Nothobranchius furzeri: one gene and its partners. The protein of the gene in region 1 interacts with the protein of each later gene in a pairwise test. Links are inferred from orthologs where the notes say so. Each region holds a gene or a part of one and is shown in the gene's direction. Other genes may lie near its edges.

Region 1 (3,122 bases):
AACATCACGTAAAACGTTGCCTCGTGAGTTCTGCGTGCTGCCGTTTACGTGTTTTATGATCACAGCAACTAACCGGCTAAGCTGTATTTAATTTTTAAGCAATGGTTGATCAATTGTCAGATCACACATAAAAAGCACTTTGGATTGCTATTATCTGTCTCACCGAGACAGATCTCAGACAGATCCTGAGACGCTCCTGCCTGACCTATTTATTTTATTCACGGAAAAAACAATCAAACTAGTGATTTCTCTTGGTGTTCAGTTTATACAAACTGCACCATCATATCTGTGTAACGTTCTAGCCCGATACGTTCCATCACGGCCACTTAGATCTACCACATTGGGCCTTTTGGAAGTTCTAAAGGTAAATCAGGTCACCATTACGTATACCAGATGTGTAATGTGCCTTGGTGTGAGCAGATCCAATGAATTTAAAAGTTTGATAATAGTTATATTTTCTAACATGAGTGACTGATACAGCTTGGCTGTGGGAATTTTGACATTTAAACTGACATTGGCATGTAAAATAGCAGCGTATGAACCAGTGTAGAGAATATCTTCTGCTTTAGTTGTGTTGCCTTGCAAGTACAGGAAAGCAGGTGGCTTTGTGAAAGAACAATAATATTGATGTAACGGTACAATATCATATCTGATTCTAAATGATCCCAATTTGGTAATAATATCGGTGTATCGACCAGACCTAGTTGTGATAACATGACTCGTATTGTAGCAGCTGAAAAAGTCTTGAAAACATTGTGGAAAATCATTTCAAGAAAAGAGTGGGAAGATGGGAGGGGATATGGCGAGCAGCCACAGTGGCAGTGAAGTGGAACTGTTTTATCTACAGGCGTACTGCAGGGGTCTCTAGTGTGCGGTATACAGCTTCTAATGTGGGACACGACCACTCTCTAAAGCTGAAGTTAGGGCCGGAAGTCATTCGGGCAGGATTTGGGGGTATTTCTTGGGGGTTTGTAACATGTGGGGACAGTGCATTGGCTGAGGGACAGGTTGAAATTTCAGGAGATCGCATCAGCCAGCTCATTAGCTTCAGCTTCACTTTTGAAGTAGAATTGCTGACATAAATGAACTTTTGCAACAGATTCTCATTCTTCACGTTTCAACTTTTGATGAAATCTGCTGTTACAAAACATAGAATTGTTAGAAACCTGCCAAAGGAAACAGCGTCATGTTTATAATGACGCACCCACAGCTGTCCCTCACCTGGTGGGTTGGGTTAAGACTAAAGCTGATGGTGTGTCTGTCCTCAGCATTACCGGCCTCAGATGTTTCTGGACAACCTGACAGGCAGGATGCAGAGTGCTGCTACAGCCAGCACCAGCTCAACTTCTCTCTCCTCCACCAGCCACTATGACGCTAGCAGACATGCTGCCGACTCCATCCACGAAGCTAGGGTCATCACTGGAGAACGGGTGACTGACGGCAGCATATCAGACATCATCTCCCTGGATTGAATCAGGGTGCTAAGCGTCACTGACCTTTTTGACGTGAACAGTTTTTTACGCAGGCATGTTCTTTTCTAATGTCTTTTTAAAATGTAAAGTTTTCTTTCTGTCCAGCCTGAAAAAGTAATGATCACTGTAACCTTTACGTTTTGTGCCAAATTAGATGTTTTATTTCAGCCATATCACATGGACAGGCCTCATATCTGGTACCAACAGGCATCCTGGACCTGTTACAGGTGGGAGTGCTCCCACAGACCATTAACACCCAGCTGTTACAGATGAGAGGACCAGTCACTGAGTCCACGTGACCTCATCAGCTGGATGTGTGCTTGTTCTCCTGGTTTTCAGGATGAAACGGTGTAAAAGCCATAGTTCAAACCAGGTTCAGAACCTGCCTACATCTATGCAAGAAAAATTGGCGTTAGTTGGGCTTTTTCATTAATGATTGAGCTCCAGGTTCTGCTGTGAGTCTGAGCTGTCTCAGACTGCTGGGGGTGGCAGCGTGTCCGTTCACATGGAGCTGAGATATGAGCCCAGATTCAGGATGCGTTGGTGCCAGATCAGAACAGGCCAAAGAGAGGTTAGGGTCACTGAGAAAACCGGCCTTCGGTGTTTCAGAAACACCAACTGGGTCAGATAGATCCCCAACATATAGAACCTGTGTGACATGGGAGACCTGCCCGGTGCATGCTGGGAGATCATGGCAGCATAAATCATGGTGAGTGGAACAAACCTTCCTACTGTGAATAAAGTCCATCTGCAGCTCATCTTTAACAAGTCTGAGAACGCATGCACCATGATTTCTGGATGTCAGGTGACAAAACACGTCTGCCTCTCAGCTTGTCGCAGTTCTGTCCTCTGACATGCCCATGCCTTGTCATACTGTCATGTTTTTATTTTGGTGTCTGCTGAGCTCAGAGGCTGGCCTGGAGCACCCGACTCTAAACTTCCTACATCAGGACTTCCTCCTAACTTGTGTTAGATTTTCTGGATTTGTAAGCTTTGCTTTGTGACATCATTTTTTTAAATAAACTTTTTCTACAGAAAAGAGTTGATCATTCAAGTGAGCTTATTCATATAGCACCAAATCACAACAAGGTCATCCCAGTGGACCAGTACAGGTCAGGGGTCTCATTTATAAAACATGACGTACATACGCCATGTACGTCACCTCGTCCCGTTCCCTCAGGTCCTCCTCCATTCATCTCTCTGTGCCCTCCTTCTGTCTCAGCACCATGGGGAGTAGAGCCTTCAGCTGCACCGCTCCCAAACTCTGGAACTCCCTTCAGCCTCTCATCAAGAACATTAACTCATTCACAGAATTCAAAAAAACAACTCAAAACTCACCTCTTCATAACCACATATCAATCTTGAATTTTAGAGTGCCTTGTTTGCTGATGTTTACGTATGTTTACTTTGTTTTATTGAATGATTTGTGTTTTTATTCTGTACAGTGTCCTTGAGTGACCAGAAAGGCGCTTTTTAAATAAAATTTATTATTATTATTAAGTAGGTTTGTGACCTATAAAACATGGGGTACGCACAGCTTCACGCAATCGCCCCTTTATAAATCACTCTACCTGGAAAGGTTCTCAGGTGTTTCTGGATCACACCCTGCTCTCAACACGCCCCCTTACTGCCATAAATGGTCAATGCAAA
Region 2 (3,755 bases), on another chromosome or scaffold:
TTATAGAGACAAGTCCGCGAGCAGCACACAAAACACCCCGTCCCTCCCCCACATTTGGCGGGATAGACGAGTCGCAAGCAGCAACCTCCCCTGTCGAGGGCCGATGGTTCATTAAAACCCCAGGGCCAAATTTTGGTCCCAGTCCACCCCTGTAGGCCTGCAGCTAAACCATAATCCCGGTATTACGGTTTTTAAGCTATGAGCCTCAGGAGGAGGACTGTGCCAGCTTTCCTCTATTGTAAAGAAGGCTTGTGTGGCTGACAAACAGCTGAAATGTTCTCCTCATATCTTCTAGAACAGCGGTTCCCAAACTAATTTGGCCATGCATTCCCCTATGTCCCGACCATGTCAATGCACCCCCCAGCCCCCACACCAGGGGGTCGTTCCCGCGTACAAACCAAAACGCCCCTTTTAGCGGCTGGCCGGATGATACACTATGGGAGGAGTTTCTGTGAACCGAATGATGTCATTTATGTATAAAATAATTATTAATAAGAATAAAATACTGATTAGAATTTAGGTGTGCTTATCTTTTTCTACAGTAGGCCTACCAAACTCAATCCACGAAGGGATTGTTTAAATGAATGTTAGCCTCTCCTTGAGAGACTTCCACATATTTAAAATTCTATCACAGAAAAGATTTTTAGTTGATTAATCTCTGTTGACATAAGTGACAGAAACTACATCAAATTTAAACTCAGCAGCCTTTGTAAACTGATTCTATACAAATTACTATTTGAAATTGATTTCAGAGCAGGTGAATTTATAGCCTAGTGAACTAGACCAACTTCTTGCTTTATGTTTATGTATTTAGCAGACGCTTTTGTCCAAAGCGACTTACAAGTGATAATCGGCATATTGCCCTTGAGGCTAACAACAACAATAACAACAACATTGACATCAATCATGGAGAGGAGGGAACAAGGAGTGGACAGTAGAGAGGGGGGACGGGTGCAGGCAAGGTGCTAGTTAAGAAGATGCTCTCTGAAGAGCAGGGTCTTCAGGAGTTTCTTGAAACTTTGCAAAGTTTGGTCTAGGAACGCTCCACTGGAACCTCTGCAGCCCCTAACAGCATTCTGGCTGGCCAATCACAGCCCTCTAGAGGGGTTTCAAACACATAAATAATACATTTATTTAGTCTGGCTTGCCAGGCTAGTGAGTTTATGGAAGATTAGGGGTATTATTATTTTTATTTACCACATTTTGTATTTAAACTTTTCATCAATTATTAATCAGAAAACCTCCGGCTCTCCTCTCCTGGACCTGCAGGCTTTACAGAACCAGCTCTAGTGCCCGGATCTGAACTCCGATCATGAGCTGTTGCTTTTGTCTGATTACCGATTTCATCGACCCGGTTACAACTAGCATGGCGACATCTAAGGCGTCACGTGAGCTACTTACAGACGGAATTCGGGCGGTTCTTCACACATGGCCGGTTTTACAGGTGAGCTTCGGAACCAGGTCCACCTGAGACGGACAGGTGGTTTCACAGAAATACAAACATGTGACGTTTAGACGGACAGAGACATGATCTGCGGAAGCTAACAGACCGATGCTAACAGGTTCACGTGTTTTTATTTAGGCTTTTATGGTTTTTGAAAAAAATCTTGGACTTCAGTGCAGATGTGATTCTGGTTCTGGTTCGTCCGAACTCCCTCTAGACGGACCGGTTTGATTTAAAGTTCTGACACGACTCGGTTAGGGTTAAGTTATGGATAACACACACTCAACACTGTAGCCACAGCTGCCCCGGGCATGCTACAGGAGCCACCGGTGCCTCCGGGCGGCCACCAATAGCAAGGCTTGCCCAAAGGCACAACTCACACTGATGGAGCCTGGGTACGAACACCCCTGTTACCCTGGCCTGGCCTGCCAGACTCGTGTTCTGTTTAAGAAAGCGTGGATCTGGCTGGTCAGGCTACTGTTACCCACCGGTTACAGGGCGAACTCCTACCCCACGAATTTGACATGTATTTATATTGTTTTGTGGTCTTAATTATATGTATAATCGCAGTAATTATATTTATTTAGAAGATATGCAGTAATTATCTTGAATCACTTTCTAGACAAAACTTCAGCAGCTGACCAGGGTTTGGCCCACATGGGTCAGCCACGCCCACCTGCAGATAATTGGTGGAGAGAACTGCTAGTCCAAATGCTCTATTTTAGTAACCAATCAGTGTTATCAGGAAACAGCCTGATGTGACAGCATCTTCTTCAGTGCCTGTGAAGTTCTGGTGGGTCCGAGACGTAAATGTGTGTGTTTGTCAGATTGCTGTGGACAACGGCTTCGGAGGCATCTACGGCCAGCAGAAGGCCGAGTGGATGGTGGATGTCATTCAGCAGTATTTCTACGACAACAGTAGGTAACCATAGAAACAGCAGACAGAACATCTGGTCAGGTGACCTTCAACCTTTTACTTTTGAAAAGCAGCAGCTCAATTCCTGTTTGTCCCTTATGCACGTGTGTGTGTGTGTGTGTGTGTAGCTGACCTGCAGCAGTATGAGGTTGAGGACTTCCTGTCTGAGCTGATGGATCAAGAGTTCAACACCATGGTGGAGGATGGGAGTTTGCCCCAGGTATGCGCACACTTGTGACATGTCATTCGGATGCTATCTCACCTGTAGTAACCAGGTACCTCCCGGTTGTGCACAGGTGTCGCTCCATCTGCTGCAGGTGTTTGGTCTGTGGCAGCAGGGGGCGCTGCAACAGCTTCAACAGAAGGTTACCACATTAACTCAAAACAGGTCGCAGAGGGCAAAGGTCACGGCTCCACCTACTGAGTCTGATGAGAGCACTGATGAAGCTCCGGTAAGCATCACCTGTGATTGGTTTAACTTTTATCTGGTCATGTGACCACATGGATCAGCGCTTCACTTTGTAAATGTAAACATGGCTGCAGAATCAGAGCAACACCGGGTCAGAACCTGTGGACAACCAAACATCTGTTTGCTCCAGATGTTCTTTAATTGATCATTGGATGGGATTAAAGTTGAATCAAAGATCCGACTGGTTCCAGCTGGATTTAGGATCTTACAGGTCTGGTTTGAAGGTCTGCTGGAACCAGTTGGACCCAGTTACCTCTGATTGGTTCTGAACCAGAGGTCACCTGCTGTTCAGATGAGTGGGAGACAATTCATACTCATAAATCTGTCATCCAGTGGAAACAAGAGATTTAAATATTTGTTGCATCACCATGTAAAGTTACAGGTTACCATGGCAACAGTCAAATAAAAAACGACCCGTGTGTGCAGGCAATGGAGTGTGACGAGTCCACCCCATCAGGCAGCTCAACCCCTCATCCCCCACAGGACACCGAGGACAGCTGGACGCTGGTCAGGAGGAAGAAGTGAGAACATGAAGAGCAGAACTGGAACCGTATTAACTGGACTTAATGGTTCCAGCTGCTCACATCTGCAGAAACTGCATGTTCAAGCATGAGCTGCTGTGTGAAGACAAGTCCATTCAGGAATCTGGTGGAGCTTGACCAGGGGTCGACTGGAGTCGGAGCATCATGGCCGATTCACACGGGTCAGGGTTAACCTAACCAAGGCTGATGGGTAAGGGTTAACCCTAACCAACCACAAATGTTTCAGCGTGTAGAAATAAACCTTTTGGAATCCTGATGTTTAAATGATCCGTTTTATTTGCTCTGATGTCATTTTCTCATTTCAAGTCAGAATTCTCACAAGTACAGGAAATGAAAGGCTGAAATATTTCTCTTTGATGTTTCTATACGAGTTTCTGAGTGACG
Region 3 (3,755 bases), on another chromosome or scaffold:
CACCATGACAAATATGCACGTGTGAAAAAAGGTCTGTTGGATGTTGACTGTCCTCTGATCCAGTATCTGCCAACACTCCACTAAATTCACACCGAAGACAACAATGTGAAATCACTTTTGACTTTGGATTCAGCTTTTTGCTCTTATTAAAGGTGGATCCAAACATGTTTTGTCTTTACTTTCTAAAATCCATGAGAGTGGAGGGATGAGTGGAATTGCAGGCTGTATTTCCTCACTTTTCTGTTTGGCGCTGCAGTAAGATTTAAGTCGACAACTTCGGCAGCTTCTTAGAGCCCGCTGGGGTTTGGAATAGTCCAGCAGCGGTCCACTAACTGGCCATCATTCATATTTAAAAGACTATGGAATAAAGACAAGAAGGGAGAATCCATCAATATAATGTCTCTGCTGGACTTCACAAGCTTTGAAAATGATTCCGCCTGCATCAGTTTTTATAAGAAAGGATCTTAAACTTTGAGCAAATGAAATAATTCCAAATAATAATGTTGCTTATTGCTCATGGGAACAAAATTTTAATCTTGTGAAATAGGATTTTTAAATTTGTGATGAGAATAAATATCTTTCGTGGTGTTTTAAAAGAGAGACTGTGTGGAAAACGACTCCACGGATGTGTGTGCTGAGCCTTTCTCCACATATGTCATTCTGATCTAAGCCACACCTGCTGCTAAACACGACTTACCAGAGAGGGAGAGAGGCAGCAGCGGGGTAGAGAGTGCTGCGTTTCAGGCTGCGCTGTCACAGGCTGAGCAGTCGCTGGAGCGAACGGTCGCTGCGTTGTTTCTGCCTTTTCTTTTTTTTTATCTCCATCTGTTTCTGCGCAGCTTTTCATGATAAAACAAGGTCTTCACTCCTGTCATCCAGAACTGATGGTTTAATTTCTGAGGCTTTATCGGAGAGGAAAGGCTCAGCTTGCTATGAGACGTGGTTAATTGCTGACTCTCACTCTGAACTGGGAGTAAGCAGAAGGTATCCCCCCACTCCCACCCGGCATATGGGAATTTCTCTTCGTGTGGCATTGGGATTTCAATGAGCTTGCTGGAATTTATGGGACATTTTTGTCTAGAGGAATTTTATACCAACCTTGGACGTTTGAATGTTTTGTACCTAAGCTGAAGCTGGTTGGTGATGTAAAGCAGGTGGGAACTGGGGGTTTTAAACCTCTGCACTGCATGTTGGCACGCTTTGCTACCTTTTCGGCTCAGATCCAGCTGGAGCAGCTAAGGTCAGGACACTGACAAATCGCACCACACATCCCACGTCAAGCAGTTCTGATGTTTGCTACAGTGATTTGGCCACACCCTGGGCGAGTAAGAGGGGATTCTTACTGACGGTCTGCAGGATTTCCATCTGAGCGTGACAGGGAGCGAGCGTAAGCTGGTAGTGAGGGAGTGAGAGGAGAAGATGCCAGCCATCCTGGTGGCCTCAAAGATGAAGTCTGGACTGCCCAAACCCAAACCCGTGCACAGTGCCCTCCCCATCCCCCAGACTCCCAGCAGACCATCAGCTTTAGCCCTGCCTTCAGCACCACTCAAGAGCCACATCCCCTCAAGACCCCCAAGAAAGGCTCCGGAGTCAGAGGCTGGTGGAAACCCTCAGGTCAGGAAATGAACACACACATACGCACACACACACACACCTGTCATGCTGACCAATCTAAGGTCACAATCTTATTCTTCCTTCTGCTGGAAGTTTTGATTAATAATTTCTGATATAAAACTCAAGAAGAAAGAAATGCATCATCAGTCCTCGCCACACCGATCTGCAGCATCATCATATGGTCTTCTTGGCTCAGCTGAGTGTAGCGCAGATCTTAAGTCAGTAATGAAGCGGTCTTGCTGCTGCTGTCCAGGATGGCAGCAGGATGTCAGGCTGCCTTTTTTGCTGTGTTTGTGAAATATTGGCTGTGCTTAGCAACTCCTCGCAAAGCGTTGCAGCGGGGCAAGGGGTGGCTCTAACACCATGTAAGTCTGTGAGGGGAAGAAGCTGTCTCTGCTTGTCGGTCTGAGCGAGCCAGCAAGTTGCATGCTTGCCAACCCGTCCAGTAAACGTGACTGTTATCAGCACCAAGGCATCCAACACAGCGTCATTTGGAGACAAATTTGGACTCAGTCTGAGGAAAACATATGGAAAGGACAGCGTCTTTGGACATGACACGGGTTTGATGCTAGTGGTGGTGTTTTGTGGCCAATCACGTTTTCTCCCTGACCTACTTTACACGACTTTCTCTCTCCCCTCTGTCCTCCTTTTTTTTCTTCCCTCTATCCATGTGGTGCTGATGAAGCACACCTCTTCACCCTCAGCTTGGTTAACCTCTGACCTTTTCCACTAGTGGCAGTGACCTGAATATTGCTGAAATGCATCAGAAATGATAATGTTACACTGCATTTGGCTGATGTTTAACTTTTTGTTGTTCTTATTTGTTTGAGCTTAGCCTCTGGGATTTCTTGAACTGGTGAAGCATTGAGCCATAACCGCTGGGATGAACACTGAATGTTTCTGCATGCAGATCGCTGCAGGAGAGTTTCTCTTCACTGATACCGAAGATGAACCCAATCTCCAGTGAGAGATGAGACGCGAGTTTCTGCAGATGTGCATTTGCATTTATCTTATTTCATTTCGAGACAAGAAGCATTTTCAAGAATAATTTGATTCTCTTTTAGTCAGTGGACGAAAAGACGCCTTTGCCCCAAATCGTTTAGCTGTTCCCAGAGAAGTGACACTATAATATGGATTAAAATGTGCTCACATGCACAAACATTAAATCAGTGTCATGTGGATTATGTTGCAGTTTTTTTTTTTTTTTGCAGGAAGGTAATGTTTTATTTAGCCTTTGTTAACCAATGCTATTGGGCTTGAAAAGTTGATTAAAAATCAGTTCCTGGGAGAATCAGCCCCCTGCAGTCCTGTATCTCACTGCTGAAACTCCTTTTATGAATTTGCACATAAGAAGCTACATTAATGTTCCTTCTTCCTTTTCACTGGGTAAAAAAGTTACATTTAGTATCTACACATTTTCCACTGCAGCTTTATGAATTTTCATCCAGTTCACTTCATCCTACATAAAACCAGACAATCAATCTTTGGTGGAGAGGTGGACGTCAGCGTGCACAAAAGCCGCAAATAGATGTCAGACCTTAACAGTGTTCACTAGGAGTGGGCTGAGTTTTAAGTCATTGCTCAACCAGGAAAGCATCTTTGTTGTCTTTTTAGCACTAATAGGCTTTATGTTCTTGGTTTGAGGCTCATTTTCGCTGTAATGGTCCTCTAAAATGTTTTGTTAGAGGAAGTGAAACTAGGGGTGGGGACTTGACATGTTAATTACCATTAATTAATTAGAAAAAAAAACATGTAAAAATATTAACGCTTGAGCCTGAGCACCCCCAATTCGAGGCCAAAGAATTTTTGCGTTACAACTTAATCTCTAATAATCAGAAAATGTTGCACCTCTAACAAAACTGCGGCACCTGTCCTACAAGCCTATACAAACCTTTTTTATGTGCTCCAAAATTAACTAAAACGACAATTAAATGGTTAATGATGAATCACTCTTCATGAAGGAAAGAAAGAAAAAAATTCTACTTTTTTACTGTTATGTTTTGCAGTTAGTAAAGCAAGCAATACGTAACTTTATCCATAAAAACGTTTATTAGAGCAGGAGGGACAAACATTCATGCAGCATTCATCTTAACACTCAGCAGAACTTCCCCTGAACTCTACACTACACCTCTATACATTAG

The links.
Region 2: the proteins of pias2 (region 1) and tsr2 interact in binary tests that used the Homo sapiens proteins (3 or more experiments, as listed by UniProt). The two-hybrid records come from large-scale screens. The link is inferred for Nothobranchius furzeri from reciprocal best matches to the Homo sapiens genes PIAS2 and TSR2.
Region 3: the proteins of pias2 (region 1) and nav2a interact in binary tests that used the Homo sapiens proteins (3 or more experiments, as listed by UniProt). The two-hybrid records come from large-scale screens. The link is inferred for Nothobranchius furzeri from reciprocal best matches to the Homo sapiens genes PIAS2 and NAV2.

What each region holds. Positions count from the first base shown.
Region 1 is NC_091757.1:21,012,071-21,015,192, forward strand, and holds the end of pias2 (E3 SUMO-protein ligase PIAS2), read left to right. Parts: intron 1-1,268; coding exon 1,269-1,472; 3' UTR 1,473-2,513; downstream 2,514-3,122. UniProt on the Homo sapiens protein: Functions as an E3-type small ubiquitin-like modifier (SUMO) ligase, stabilizing the interaction between UBE2I and the substrate, and as a SUMO-tethering factor.
Region 2 is NC_091755.1:47,643,056-47,646,810, forward strand, and holds tsr2 (pre-rRNA-processing protein TSR2 homolog), read left to right. Parts: upstream 1-1,348; 5' UTR 1,349-1,366; coding exon 1,367-1,444; intron 1,445-2,271; coding exon 2,272-2,362; intron 2,363-2,488; coding exon 2,489-2,580; intron 2,581-2,656; coding exon 2,657-2,812; intron 2,813-3,255; coding exon 3,256-3,354; 3' UTR 3,355-3,635; downstream 3,636-3,755. UniProt on the Homo sapiens protein: May be involved in 20S pre-rRNA processing.
Region 3 is NC_091749.1:51,507,747-51,511,501, reverse strand, and holds the start of nav2a (neuron navigator 2), read left to right. Parts: upstream 1-1,215; 5' UTR 1,216-1,419; coding exon 1,420-1,614; intron 1,615-3,755. UniProt on the Homo sapiens protein: Possesses 3' to 5' helicase activity and exonuclease activity. Involved in neuronal development, specifically in the development of different sensory organs.